2 linked regions of the Lepisosteus oculatus genome follow. The protein of the gene in region 1 interacts with the protein of each later gene in a biochemical or structural test. Links are inferred from orthologs where the notes say so. Each region holds a gene or a part of one and is shown on either strand. Other genes may lie near its edges.

Region 1 (7,912 bases):
CAGGCCTTGTGCATATGGGGGCAAGCTGTTGTTCTGTTCCATTCTCTCCCGAGCCAAGCGTCACCAGAGAAACACCTCTGAAGGGCTTCTTCCACCTTTTGTCCGCAACTAAACTAACTGCAGCCAACACCAGTCATTCAGTTGAGACGTCCTGACAAAGGGCCTCTTCGAAACCTGAAATAAGAGGAAACAAAATACATCGCACGATGTTCCAAACAGAGAAGGACAAGTTCTAACAATGCACCTCTTAGTTACGGAAAGTAAAAGATGTAAGATTTTTTGGATGAGACAACTTCCAAAGAAATGTTTTATCTTGACACGTTGGCCATTGTATGAGTGAGATACATTAAGCATTTTAACACAACTGGTGCAGTACAGAGAAGTGGTTCTCAGCTCGTGACTGGGGGGAGGTCTGTCTCTTCTGGTGTTTGCTCCACTTGCTATCTTAATCAGGCAAAGTGGTCCCTTCAATTGATTTTCCAGCTTGATTTGACCATTAAATAGCTTGTCCACATAATTCTGTACTCAGATTTTGTTTTAGAAAATACTGCCAAGAAATCTCCATTCAGTATCTCCTCAACATGCTTAATTAAGTGGTTCTGGCATTTTTGTGTCTAAACAGTTCTCACGAAGTAATACATTATTTAGGTACAGGTACATGTGAGAACACTTTATCAAACCCTCCAACCAATAAAGGCCATTTTGTGTTCTCCAAAGACCCAATTACATACAATCCATACACCTGAATGAGTGCAGAAAAGGTTTTGGGGTCCATGTGCATCAACAACTCCGTAAATGCTCTTATGAAATTAACAGAATATCTTAATCAGCTACAGCTCTATCTGCCTAGATAATCACAATGTCATCCTGAAAGAAAACCAGAAAGACCTGGAGGTCCTCCAGGTTCTGATGTGTACAGCACTAGTGTACAATGATTTGTGCATTAGATTAACCTAGAAGCCATGTCACTCTGCAACTCACAACTGGCAGCCCACTGGAGCTCAGCAGGTGTGAGCCTGGCCAGTACCTGGATGGGAGACCTCCTGGGAAAAACTAAGGTTGCTGCTGGAAGAGGTGTTAGTGGGGCCGGCAGGGGGCGCTCACCCTGCGGTCCATGTGGATCCTAATGCCCCAGTATAGTGAGGGGGACACTATACTGTAAACAGGCGCCGTCCTTCGGATGAAAACCGAGGTTCTGACTCTTTGCGGTCATTAAAAATCCCAGGGCGTTTCTCGAAGAGAGTAGGCGTGTAACCCCTGGCCAAATTTCCTATTGGCCCTTACCAATCATGGCCTCCTAATAATAATCTCCATCTATGAATTGGCTTCATCACTCTGCTCTCCTCCCCACTGAGAGCTGGTGTGTGGTGAGCGTTCTGGCGCACTATGGCTGCCGTCACATCATCCAGGTGGGGCTGCACACTGGTGGTGGTGGAGGGGATCCCCCATTACCTGTAAAGCGCTTTGAGTGGAGTGTCCAGAAAAGCTCTATATAAGTGTAAGCAATTATTATTACTACGATGGTTACAATGGTATGTTCTCCCTGTATTCACATTGGCTTTCTTCCCACAGTACAAATGCTGGTGGGTTAATTGGCTTCTTGGAAAATTGGCCCAGGTGCGAGTGTGTGCGTTTGTGTCTGTCTGTGCCCTGTGATGGACTGGTGTCCCATCCAGGGTGTACCCCGTCATACACCTGTTTCTGGGCAGGATAGGCTCTGGCTCCCCCCTGACCCCAAACTGGAAGAGGCAGTTTAGGAAATGGGTAGATGGATTTGTTTACATCCCCAAGCACTAAATTATAAAAGGTCATTATTTTCTTATTTTTTTAGTCATCCTGGACAAAAACCAGGATGTTACTTAAGGCTTTTTACAGTTGATGACTCAACACACTCAGTACATTAAGGTAATGTACTATACAGGGTATAGTCACACATTACACCAAGCTACAGGTATTACACCTATGCAGTTAAATAATTAGGCCTTTGATGTAACTGACAGCTCAGGCTGGAACCCCTGATGGTTAAACATCTCAGTTAAATGTCCCATCAGAAGGATATATGGCACTGCCTGAGTTTTTTTATACTGGTCTTGGGGACCCACCGTGTCTGCCGATCTTCATTCCATTTGATAACACTCTTCAATGAACTCGACTAATAATTGTCTTGCTTAGTCCTCTAATAAATAGTTTGCAGCTTTGACAGCAGAAGACCGAGCCGGGCAGAGCGCAGTTCAACGACAACGCGAAGCAACGAGACCCAGCCCTCCACCAAAACACGGTCCTGACAGCAGTGTCGAAATGTTGGCACCAAAGCCAGTTCTTACTTAACTCTTACTTACCCACCTGCTAAATCGGAGACACTAATGCAACTAGGTTTTCCAGCACCCAGGTTCTGGAGCTGATGTAGACATTGCAGAAGGACATTACAGCAGTGTTGGACCAGCGCATATTAACAGATTTATTCATCGAGAAACCTCTCTTCGCCACCGCTGTAGTATCGCCTTTGTGTCGTAGTTGACGAAGTGCAAAACCATGCACCTTAAGTAACCATGCCAGTTAGTCTTTAAATCATGGGTTTAAATGATTTTAAATCAGAGCCGTTACTTTCCTAGTATGGGGCACTGCAGATATGCGAGATAAAGAACAAATGCACTATAAAACAACGCTCAGTGCATAATTATCTATAAATAAAAAAGCGAGTTAAAAATTATAGCTGACCGCAACAAACATACAATCTTCGCGAGCACGTATCTTTTACGTTTGAAGGCGTAAAATTCATTTTAGGGCTGTTTATAAATGACTTGGCAGTTATACCCAAATACATTTTAAACAAATTAATTGCAAAATAATCCCGCTCACACACATACAATTTCCTTCTGGTACCCGACGGCCCCGACGTGTAGCGAGACATTCCTTCGCAAAATAAACACACCCTCGCTATCTAGGCTCATTACTGTCTCCCAAACACAGAAAATAAACGGTTAGCCCCTTCGTCCCGTTTCCCCTCACCTTTTTACGCCTCTGTCTCTGCAGCAGCTCTTGTTTTTTCGACCGCTCACTACCGCAAAAAAAACCCTCCTTCTCTCCCAGCAAACTGCGCGCAAACTTCCTGTAGCGCCGAGTTGTCCTTCCGGAACAGCCGTGCAAAACTAAAAATGTGATGGTGGTCGCTATATGTGAACAGGGTTTAAGAGTAATTGCCTAGGTGTTTTAAAATACAGGAGACATAACAAGTCTGGTGGTCATTTGTTTTTCAGATAATTGGTCTTAAATATAATTTTTTTAATCCTTTTTTTTAAATCCTTATGAGTTTCAATCAGTATGTCAAAGAGTGTGATTCTGTACATGATTTCATATACAGACGTCTCTCGTGTGTTTATAAAATTTTGAGGTCAACTAAATACAGCTTTCTACTAGGACACAGCAGGGTATGGGCCGACAGTTTTATACTGGAAGGAGTGCCTTAGTTATTATTGATTTATCTAAAGCAAAACTTGAGTGTTTAGTACTTGGAATTATATCAGTCGTGTATATACGTAATAATACGGTAAATAACCATTTTTAAATTGTGTGCAGAACATTTGGATTTCGCTAATCTAAAGCATACGGATAAACAGGATTTTGTGATTTGTGCTTTGGGCACTAATTTTAATGCGGCGCTCATTGGAAGCAGGGCGATCCTTCTCGTTGTTTTCTGTGTCATCGGGTGCGCAGGCAGAAACTGGGTCGTGCAGGGAAATGAGTGTTGAATTCAATTATTGATGTAAAGATGGGTGTAAAAATGGTGTTTGCGATATGGTGTAACAATCTGAACGAAATCCTAAATACGAGACGGGCACACACAATCGTTTGTAGCGAGAGAGTCTTATTGAAAATGTCACATGAGGCTGCAGTGTGGTTCACTGTGCAAGACGAGGTGGACAGAGTGGTCAGCCGGAGTATCCCCAGGTCCGGGCTAGACACCTTCGACAATGAATTTTTTTTCGACCACTTCCATTTCTCTACTCCCACACCCCCCCTTATCCACGTCTCCGTTGTCTCTGTGGGCTGCGTGCGGGACAGCCCTGCTCGCGGCTCTGAGCTCCTGTGCAAACGGGTCCCTGCAGACACATGGCGGAGGTTGCGGGGACGCCCCAGTCCTCCGTCAGCCCAGCCGCGACCACAGTTTCCCCAGTCTTGCCTGACAGGGCAGAGCAGCTCGGGTGTCGCCTAGAGCTGGGCTGCACTCAAGTGCGCACCACAGCGCCCGTAGAAAGAGAGTTCGTTTTCATGAGTACAAACACCTACCGGTCCATCAGTCCAGATGGTTTGCGACTCGCACAGTAATTTACTCAGTGTTGCAACTTTTTGGGAACCGTCCTCCATAAGCAAAGAGTTCCAGGCTGGCATTTGTGGAGATGATGGATGGCTTGCTGGTGTTGATTGAGTGGCAAGGTTGATCCACTCATTCGTCCGAAAGGAAGTCAACATAACCAGTCTTGGACTTCTCTGAACATTTTAAAACAAAATCCCGATGAAGCCTTTCTGCATATCATCAGGAAAAACCAATTGAAAGACTGTTGTCAGAATAATTTTAACTACTCATTGCTATGTTTAGGGGTGAAGTCTCTGTGGTTTGGGGTACCCCACAGGCCCTAATGAACCTGAGTACTTTTTAAATTAAACCGAGTAGTTTTTGGGGGTACCCTCACGCCTTGGTTGACCCAAGGCTGGTTTTACAGGGTTGTGTGCTTTATTGTTTTGTCATGCTTGTCTTCTAGCTTTGTTTTCACTCTGTGCAGTAAATGTCTAGATTGCTTTTTATGATATTTGCCTTGGCTTACCTGCTGTTGGTTTAGGCCTAGGGTTTGCCTTTAAAAAGGATCCACTTGCCTGATTTACACCGATACATAATCACCTCTCCGATTAGCATCTCATTTGCTTTTAGACAGCAGAAGTTGCTTTTTGCAGAAGCACCTCCTCACCCGTGTCGGATCCAGCTGATCAGGCGGAAGGGCGATACAACAGAGCCCATGACAAGACCCATAGTTATCCAGAGGACATCTGGTGCCCTCAAACTGAGATTACGGGTGCAATCAGAAACAGACGCCCACCAGGGCCACTGAGATTATCAATGCCCGTGTAAGGGTTCTGGGGGTCTCCGCCCTTGCCCCTCCTGCCCTGCCAGTTCGTCTCTCATGAACCCTGGTCTCTGGTGTCATGCAACAGGGAGCTTGCCAGCTGAGCTGAAGGAGAACTCGGGTTAAACACAGGGGGGTATTCGTTACACCTGTTGCACGCTGCACAACATCGCCCGGAAGTTCTCTGTCGGGCTGCTGGAGGAGAGCCCACCCTGATCCAGACATGGCCCTTCCGAGACAGCAACTGATAAAAACTCATTTATACGAGGATTTAAGCAGTCCATCAGAACACTCCGGAGGGTTCTCAGAAAACTGTCTTTTTCCACGACTCAAGACCACTTTGCTCACTTTAAATTGCTAATGAGCTACAGAGCAGGGCTATTCAATTTGAGGCTCTCTTTTATTACAGATCCAGAATTATACTACAGCCCAACCCCCAACCCCTTATAATCTGTAAACCACACTTAATTCAAGACCCCTAATTACAAACCCAATACTTCAAGCAGTGTTTCTGTGGCCTTTGGATCCATGCAATTCTTTATGTGCATTTAAAGGACTTATGCAAATTCATGCTGCATATTAAAAATCACTCTTACAGTAATAATGTAATCACATGAATAATATAAATTCATTTACATTATTGAACAGCAGCAGTGGAGTCCTTGGTTCTAACTAAAGCAGGGGTGCCCAACTTCAATACTAGAGAGCCCATGTGTTTGCATTTTTCCAACTCCGCTCTTAGATTACATAATTTTATGGCTTAACTGTACCTCTTTAACTTTTCCCAACTTGTCAGCTGCTGCCGTATAGTGATGTCGAAAGCCTATCGACACTGACTGTCAGAACCTGCATTGGTTCCAGAAATAAAAATGTTCATTACTAAATAATCCGTATCGCATGGATAGTTTGGTTATTTCAAAATCAGGAACACGCACTCCAGATACAAAAATAATTATAGGGAAACTGCAGAGGTTTATTTAGATATCAATGATTGATTTTAGATCAATGGAGTTTTTAGAATGTGGAAAATTATAGTTTTAGCTAATGGAATAGAACATATGGATGTTTCAGCGCAAAATGACATGAAACATACCTGGCAAACTATTAAATTGGTTTACATTTTTGTTTAAAAACAAAGTTAGGGTCAGTTTAAATACAGAAAGGAGTACTTCCTTGTAATAGAAAATATACATACCATACCTCTTTATTTACTACACAAGATGACAGTGTAAAAAATTAATACACTTTCATTAAACATTTCTGAAGGAAAGTGGTACAAGTTTATTCTCAATCTTTTCGGAGTGGGACAGTCTCTTCCTTGATGCCCTCCTTGGTGACAATGCAGATTTTAAGAGCATCACCTGTGTACACATCTCTCTCAGCTGCTGAGATGAAGACATCCTTGACAAGCTGAACAGCCTTCTCCAAGGTCAGAGGCAAGTGCTCCACATTCTCCATGTTCTTGAAGCCAATCTAGAGAGGAGTAAAAGGCATTTAAAATCATACACCGCCATAAGGAAGCTGCCCTCTACTGAAGTCCAGTAAAAATCCTATACAGCAGTTGTCCTCAGTGCAATATTGTAATATATAAAAACAGTACATGACCATATGATCTGCTAGTTAAATGCCCATACAGTGAAGAACTGAAGGGAATTTGATAAACACTACCCTTAGACCCAAAAGATTCAGATTTGAAAACCATTTCATTCATCAAATGTATCAACTGCACAGAACAACAATGTCTGATTAAACAAAAATAATTTTGCATTCATAGTAACAAGTCTATTTTTTAATTATTATTTCTCTAAAAATTCAATTAAAGTTTCTTCCTTTTCCCAGCTGCAGTAAACATCATGAAGTCATATCAGAATTAGTTTAATGCCTGTAATATTGTTAAGAATATTGACTGAATCGAAGTTAATGCCCATGCAACACATGAGATCAAACTTCACATGGTCAACAATAAATCAGCCTTATGGGGAACAGAGTGCAAGAACACTGCTTTCCACAGGAACTGTACCTGGTTATCGAGGAGGGGCTGCAGCATGGCACTTGCTGAACCTCCAGCCTTGTAAGCATCTCTTTGATAAGAACCTACTGGATCAAAACTGTACACTGCTCCCTTACCTGGAAAAGTCACGTTCTTGTTAAGGTACACATTCTCAACGAAACAGCTTTTTAAATTTAAAATAAAAATGATTTTCCCCCATTTTCAACTGGTGGATTTAATCATTTGCAAATCTGAACACAATTTCAAATTGTGTCATTCCTTTCGCCACAGCATTAAAATCCTGCAGGAGAATGAGCTGCCACAGACATTTGGCTCCTGACTCAGATATTTCTGGGGAACAACACACAAGCCCCCTGTGACATTACTGCGCTGCTCCATACAAACAGGCCTAAATACAAGGCAGCAGATTAGACACCACAGTATAAAGAGATTCACTGGAGGTTTAAATACTAGATGTAATTTATAACATCACAAACCAAATTTATTCAAAATAAAAAGTCTTGAAAGATGTACCACTTGGTATTGCTATTGTTATTCAAGAGCCTGCAGTTCCTGAAAAAGACAGAAGCGCATGACACTAATATGTGCTGCTCTGTCAGTTTTACTATTCATCCATTTTCTGATCTCTGTATCCAAAACGGAGTTGCAGGGGAGCCAGAGTCTATCCCTGGTTAGCCATGGGCACAAGGCGGGGTACACCCTGGACAGGACACACTGACACAAACACAGACTCTCACACAAAGGCCTTGCCCGCCCATATGTATTTGCGGAGCACCCAGAG
Region 2 (8,019 bases), on another chromosome or scaffold:
TCCATTTCATGTCTTCCTCACAAATACACTTCGCTAAACACCAATTTACCTGCCTGTTACAAAACTCAACACTGGCACATACTGAGCAGGACTCCTGAGCAGTCAGTAAGAGAAGACAAGTGATAGATGCACATTATACCTTCCTTGGGCTTCGCAGGTGGATTCCACTCAGGCACATTTTTCACAATGGCTTCTACCGCTTGGCCTGCTGCGATGCGTGTGTCCCAGTTAGGACTTCGTAAATACGTTAAAACCTTCAGAGTTCACAAAAGATAAATGCATTATATGATACGGGGTCACAGAAAACTATTTACATTGGTTTTTAAAAACAGGAGAAAAAATGCTTCAAGTCCCAGTGCTTGAGCTATTTATAGACTGGTACTCAAATGGGACTTTTGAGTTAAATTAACTGCTACAAGGCTGGAGGCTCACATCAGCCATAAAGTCATACTCCTGAGTGCAGTGCAGTCAAAAACGAACCTTCACTTGATTTTCCTGTGATCAGGAACTACATGCAGTAGGTCACCAGACTTACTTTAGATAAGAGGTTATTCAGCTCGTGTGGGTGAAGCTTCACCACATCTCCCAGCTGCTGTGCCGCTGCTTTCCTTGTCACTGGGGTCGTCCCAGTGTCCAACAAAATGAACAGACGGTCAAGCCTGAAAGCAAAAGCAACAGCAAAAGATGTGGGCATTAGTGCACATTCTCATCAGGAATTGCTTGCATACTTCCAAGAAAACCTGAATTCATGAAGATCTCGTCAACATTAAGGAATCATAATCTATTCTAATAAGACACTACTACAGATGCTACGTTCTGGAATGTTACAGTATGTTTTTGCAACATTCATTTGTTTAACAAAAGATATTTCTTTTGTAATCAACATGCTAAGCCAGCAAAATGCACTGTAGCTCTTTAAAGGTGGCATGGAGAAAGTAAATTCTGCCTTCTTTTATTTGCATGTTACCAAAAATATGAGGATTATCAGTACTGCCTTTAAACAAAACTAAAATGCTAGAAACGTATTCAGTATCTTCAGTGGGTGAAAAAATGACAAAGAGAAATTAATTTGCTCATGCATTTATAGCTGATAACTTGCAGGCTAGCGGTAGTACTGTCACCACCTGATAACGACAGTTTCTGCCAGACCTCTCAATGCCAGTCAACTTCGTTTCACGAGTATTACCGACATGATAACTAGAGACAACACTTAACATTTTATTCATGGTTGCCATTATTTCAGTTTGCCATAACTTAGAAAACTGCCACAAGGCTAAATATTTTTGGTCTTCCCAAGGACTTCAGCACAAAGTAGATAATCAATGAGCAAAGTTTTAACATCGCACATAAAATTAATGCGCACTTTTAAAACCATCCGGTGACACCAGGAAATGCTTTGATAAACAAGATACTATATACAAAAGAATCTTTAATCACTAGGCAGTCCTTTTATTATTAGAATTTTTTGCAGCTCCTTTTGTTACCTGCAATTTCACCACACCTAAAATGCCGCATGTCTGTTTTATTCTGTGTAACGGACCGGATTGATACAGTGTATTTCACTAACTTAAAGCACGTTTTTAAAATATATCCCCATACAACCAACCCGTACAAATGGGGGAAAAAAAAACTTTCTGAATCAACCATCCACTGTGCCAAGTACACAATAAGCGAATAATGAAAATGAAAAACATAATAAAAGAAAACATCTAGCGCAGAAATACAAACAATTCCCCACATTGGACTAAAAAAAAGTTACTGTCAAACAGAAGCATTTACTGTACATTTAAATTAAAAGTTAGATACTATTTCATTTCCGTATTCGTCTCAGGGGTAGAGAACCTAGGATATAAATAGGTCATGAACGCCTTAATTTTCCTTTAAATCGAAATATCGCTTCGTTCATAAAGATATAAACTCGTTCTTTCAAATGTGAAATTGTGGTTTATTAATCAGCGCAAAAAATATAATGACTGACATTTGTTAAGAACGTGTTACACGATCTCCCCCCCCTCTTATTCAGCATGTACTGTGTGCAGCTTTGAGCCACAGCCACGCATGGGGTTTCTGTGCAGCCAGTAGAGCAACAGGCATTATCATCTGCTTTGGACTGGAGATTTACGTATATAAATAGCAAAGATTAAGATTTATGTTCGGACAATATCGCATGTGTCCCTCTACAGACACTTTTAACTGCAACATTGATAATGATAATTAAGCGCTCCCATTTGACTTCTTGATTTGACAAACGAAATCAGCGACCTATCATTTCCTGTGATCTCCTAAACTCCATAATTAATACTATGCATGGTCTAGTGAATAAACACTTTATCTGTAACACTAGCAAACACCCGCTGTGTAACGCAAATTGTGTAATTTATAGCAAAGCAGCTAATTTGAAGGCAAAAGAAAACATATATGGTGTTTTCATTGTCTACAGCGATTGGCTGACTACAGATGTAACACAACCTATAAAAGGGGTATGTTTATAGGCTTTAAAGCGTCTGAAACTGCCCTTGTCCTACCGGCGTTTAATTACTCACAATAAAATCGAAATTACTGTACTTGTAACAAGACTGGAGTCGAGCTGGGCCTGACGACAAGAGCATTCTATTGTTACTCAATTTATAAAATGTAAAACAATCCCACCTTGATACGGCCATGTTGGTGAATTAAGAGCAAAGCTGTAATCTTGCGTGGTCTGTCTACCCACAAAAATAAACCATCTATTTCCTATTGCCTTGGTTTTCTAATCTCAAAAGATCCGGTGGCTTCGGAGAGGCCCAGCTCTTTCGCTCACCATCCAAAGCCAGACTGACGAAAGGGTGCTTTTAATTCATAGCTTCATAAAAGCTCCCCCGTTTAACCAGATTGCCTCGCACTATAACGTAACGCCTTACAATACATTTATATTAGTCTTAAAGCTTAGATTATCCCGCTGAACTGCATCCGGAAAGGTATTTTATTCGAATAAGGAATAAACAATAATTTTGTTGTTCACTAAAGAGAACCCAGGAGTCTGGTTTTATATGAGGAGCCATCTTGCATTTATTCCTTCCTCCATGGTAGCCGGAGCGTGATTGGTTACATGAACTACGGATGGCCAATCACAGGGCACGTTTTACAGGTAAGCGAGTAGCAGGAAGAGACCAGGGCAGGAAACCGAAAGAAATAAACCCCGCCTCTGTCAACTCTGACCCCACCCTCTCAGTTACACATCATGCCGGGGGCGTGTTTTCTAGTGGAAGGAATAGCGGACAAGGAGACCAGCTTGGCATTAATTTCTCAGCTTTTTATGAAGTTTTTATTTTTTGTTTTGGTTGCTTATATCTAATCTTACACACAATTACGGGTACCTATAAACTTCATACTAATGAAATACTGTGAGTTCAAGAAAATAATTCAGAACATAAAAGTGAACTTTAGTTTGCCTTCCCTTCACTGCTCTTTACACTGTTAGTGGTGCATTCAGTGATTAAAAAAAGTATTGTTTAATCACATGACTATTCTTTGTGTTTTTTCCAAGAGCCCTTTAGACTAGTTTCATAATGTTTTCTACGTCCCTTCAGATCATATCGCAGTTACAACACTTAGAAATACCATGTCACATCGCGCACTCCAGCTTCTTGTAGAATTAACTGTTTTCAGCCAGGAACCCAGCACTGTATTGTTGTTAACAAATGCAGATCAGGTCCTTGATGCAACAGATTGCAACCCAAAAGATTGCATTACTAACAAATACGACCTGCATCGCCAGTAAATTACTGAATCGCCAATAACAGACCTTTGTTATTGATAAAAGTCCCAATGACTTTATATATATGGAAGCAATAACTTACATAATCTATATAAACGCCCAGGCTCAATGAGGGCATATTACATTGGTTTATCATTACTGTATTTATATAATTATGTAATATGTTCATTTTGATGCATTATAGATTTATTAATTCTTCCCGTTGTTTCGTTATGATGACAAATGGTCAGTTCAAATCAAATTCATACGAAGCTGTTGTGATATTACTTGAATTACAGCTTACTAGAGGGATAGGTATTTCTGTAAAACCATGCATCTTTATCTCTGTTAATGTTTTTCTTGTTAGCAAAATTCCTGACATGTACCCCCATGAAATTATTATCTGGCCCCGTGCATATACAATACCTTAAGCAGCTCAAATTCACCGAATAAAAGTATTTCGTATTCCTATTGAAATACAGTAATTCCCTTAAACATTTATTATGCTCCTTCAAACTGTTTGGAACTAAATATGACCTTAAAATGATCTTACTAAACTACGTGGCAACTACAATAATAACGTTATTCTGTAATTCGTTGGAAACGAACCCTCTCGTGCATTATTTGAATCAGATATTAGCTGGAAAATGTGCTACTCAATAACTTTCCTTTCTCAGCACTGAAATAATTAACTCAGAGTAAGTATAACATATTTTTTTATTTCTTTTCAGTGTACTGTTGGTCAATCCATGTAATAAAATACAATACGAATTGTTTTTATTTTCATATACACCATCAGGGGGCAGTCGAGTTTGATTTTTATATACCACATTCTATCACGCTTCTGTAGTTTCTCACAAAAATGTTATGACGAAAACGAAGTTTTCCCCGTTTCAGTTGCCATGCAGACTAAAATGGGAAAGTTGCCTTTAATAACAAATTGCTGATATTTTACAGCTCATATAACATGGATTAGAAGAATAGGTTGTGAAATGGACAGATGGAAAAATGATATAATCAAAAGTACCCAGAAGAAGGCCTTACATGAACGTATTAATAAAATATTGACAGTTAATTGTGGTTTTCACATACAGTCAATGTATTCACATTAAGTCCTTTACTTCCAAAAAATTCATTATTTGTAAAACATAATTCTGAATATTAAAAAAAGTTTCTGCTCAAATGGAGATTCATTTTTCACTCAGGAAAATTTATATTGAAATAGTAAATAAATCTTGGCGTAGTAGTTGTAATGAGTGTCAACTTAAATCTGTTCATTGAAAGGGATATTTATATGTATTCTACTTTATTAAATTTATGTTGTGTTGTATTCTTTAGATATACATGACGCTTCCCTTAGACAAAGATAAAGGCAGCCTTGAGACACAGACCAAGAGTTAAAATGGAGGGTAAAAATGTAAGTCAACTTCTGAATATTGTTTGAATAATTTTAGCATAAGAGTGGCTGAAGAATAATAAAGTCTAGAAATGCTTTTATCAATCACAAAGATTGCACTCAAAGAAATAAGGATTGTTATTCATAAACCACTAGCTGGCATCGTCCAGTAGACATTTAAGACAGGTTCCTCTCCATTCTTTGAAAAGAATGATACATCCATTTATCATTCTAGGAGATAGCATGACTTTTGGAAAAGTCTTTTTAATTAACTTGTAACCTGTTAATTGTTAAAGTGTAAGCATCAGTAATAAATACAAAAAATAATAAATACAATATTTGACATGATATACTGTATTTAGATTTCCAGAAAATATTTTGTAAAGCTTCAAATGAAAGATTAACTCATAAACTAAGATGTAAAATAAAAAGTGTTTATGAGAACCGAGTACAAGCAAGAACTAGAATTATTACAGACTTAATATTTAAATAAAAAGAAGGCTCAGAGTAAAAAATGGCACACAAATTCTTAACACAGGAGAATGGAATTGTCTTCAAAGGTTATGCAAATTTGATTACATTATGGTAATAAATAACACTTAGATCTACTAAATTTAAATCTGAATCTGAGCTACTGAATCTCTATTTCCAGTTTTAAGTTTAACCAGATGTCAGAACTGACTTGATTCCAGTTAAATCTTCTGTGAAGACAAGCAACTCTGTGTCAGATGGGTCTAAAATACATAGAGTCTCATTAGCAAAGAATGAAAGCTGAGTTTGTATTTAATTGATGTCACCAAGTGGTGATATGTACAACCAACTGCCAGGGTCCCTAGATAGAGCCCTGGGGAACACCAAAATGATCAGCTCTCATTGCAAAGCTAGTTTTATCTAGAGAGATATGGCCTAGTGAAACTTTTGAGAGAGATAGGAATGACTGTAGTGAAAGAAGAATGCTATGGAATATCTGGTGCTCAACATGATTTTACTTTGTGCTTATCAAAACAAATAATGGAAGCAATTAAAAGGGCCATTAGTATGCTTAGATTGTTAATCCGTGGACATGCAGAACAGTGCCGTGTTTATCTGTCAAGGCAAAATGCAAGCCTAGAACTCTATGAGTCTCTAGAAGTTCTCAGAATGCTGAGATAGCAGTGCAACACAGAAGACAGACTGGAGAAGTGTATCAGGCAGGCTAGAATATCTGAGAGAAGATGAGAGGTGGCAAAGGAACAACACTGTAGAGAAGCAGAGCAGAGGCTGCCTCAAGAAGCAGGCAGCACTTTCAGATGGTAGGCAGCAGGGTAGCTGAGTGAAGGATTCCTGAAGAAGCAGGTAGTCTTAGCAGAAAATAAACCAAGACTGGATACACCCCTGGTGTAAAGCATGTTATTTAAATCATGGGATGCTATCTTAAGATCATACAATGCACCAGCAACATCTTCTTTAGCATGTTGCTTTCAAGTTTGGTCTCAATATGTAAAAAAAAAAGTTACCTTGGATATTGTTTGAAGAAAAATTTATATTTCCAAAGAAATGTCATTCACGACAGTTTGAGATGACATAAACATGTTAGGTCTTAAATAGAATGGACTACACATATCGTAAAGATAAAAAAATATTAGAATGAAGATTTCTCACTGCCTCATTTGGCTCTATGTAAAAAAATGCATTGCATTAAATATTTCACTGAAGTTTTAATTTTAAAATATTTTAATGAATGAAAATGTTTATATTGTTAATTTCCCTTGTAATCACAGATAACTATCCCTGTAATTAATGTCAATATAACATACTTTAAAATTAGGATTTAAACCAATCGTTACTTTCTTTTTCATTCTCAGTCATTACTTTAAGAAATGAAGATTATTTTTTCTTTTCCTGTAATTTTGATGAGATTTCACATGGATTCCCAGCTGTTGGCCTTTCTTCATTATTAGTTAGTATGTTCAGTTTAAAATCCTAACCTTTTAGTGCTGCTTAATTATTATTGCATATTTCACAGTGCCATTAAGTCAATCTTGATTTCTGATGCCACAAACAGTATTTTTTAAAGTGTAATGTAGTCAATGCCTGTTATTGATGCCTTTTTACTATTTAGGCACACATCATTTCAAATGACAGAATTAATTTTATTATGATGCTTTAAATTAAATTAAGTCAGTTCTGACATCTGGTTAAATGTAATTGTTGTAAATGTAATCAGTCAATCAATGAATTCATATGCTTGACAATTAATACAAAGTCATCAATGCTATATTTTTTACAAAGATAAGAACTCACCACAAGATATCAGAAGACTCAATTCCCTTTGTTGAGAAGGATGATCTTCATGAGTTCCTGTTGCCTATCCAAATGGCAGATGATACAGCTGGTCTGTCCTGTGTCTTTGTGCCTAGTGATTCACCTGGTACGATATTGAAAAGATTTTTATTTTTGGCGAATCATGTTAAATCATTAGATTTGTTGATTGTAACTGTAACTCGGTATAACACTGTTGGAAAATGTTTTTTGGCTTGATAGGATTTTGTACATTGTAGCATATGACTAGATTTAAAAAATGCTTGACATGCCAATTGGAAGGCTAAAAATATCATAATGTATGTTGATAAGAAATTCTAATGTAAAAATGAAAAAAGCGATACCTTATATACAGTACTCACCTGTCTCTGAAAAACAGATGTCTGGAGAATATAGTATTTTTTGTTAAAAACTGAATTTAGATAGTGAAATAACTATTCATTTATCGAATAATATTTGTGTGAAAAAAACATATCAGACGGTGTTTAGTTAGTTGCAGTGCAAAATTACCAGCAAAGATGAACAAACGTGTTCTGGAGGAGGAAGGACTGTATGTCCGTGAAAGACCCCATGTATCAAAAAAACA

The links. The genes of interacting proteins can lie anywhere in the genome.
Region 2: the proteins of tbp (region 1) and btaf1 form a complex in vitro, tested with the Homo sapiens proteins (2 studies listed by BioGRID). The link is inferred for Lepisosteus oculatus from reciprocal best matches to the Homo sapiens genes TBP and BTAF1.

Annotation. Positions count from the first base shown.
Region 1 is NC_090712.1:2,370,431-2,378,342, forward strand, and holds the start of tbp (TATA-box-binding protein), read right to left. Parts: upstream 3,105-7,912; 5' UTR 3,010-3,104; intron 2,447-3,009; exon of another isoform or gene 2,344-2,446; intron 175-2,343; 5' UTR 43-174; coding exon 1-42. Other genes in the region: psmb1 (proteasome subunit beta type-1), read right to left, coding at 6,408-6,593, 7,141-7,247. UniProt on the Homo sapiens protein: The TFIID basal transcription factor complex plays a major role in the initiation of RNA polymerase II (Pol II)-dependent transcription.
Region 2 is NC_090699.1:23,924,009-23,932,027, forward strand, and holds the start of btaf1 (TATA-binding protein-associated factor 172), read right to left. Parts: upstream 3,049-8,019; 5' UTR 2,664-3,048; coding exon 2,650-2,663; intron 660-2,649; coding exon 536-659; intron 255-535; coding exon 140-254; intron 1-139. Other genes in the region: protein CC2D2B, read left to right, coding at 5,139-5,153, 7,404-7,542, 7,923-8,019. UniProt on the Homo sapiens protein: Regulates transcription in association with TATA binding protein (TBP). Removes TBP from the TATA box in an ATP-dependent manner.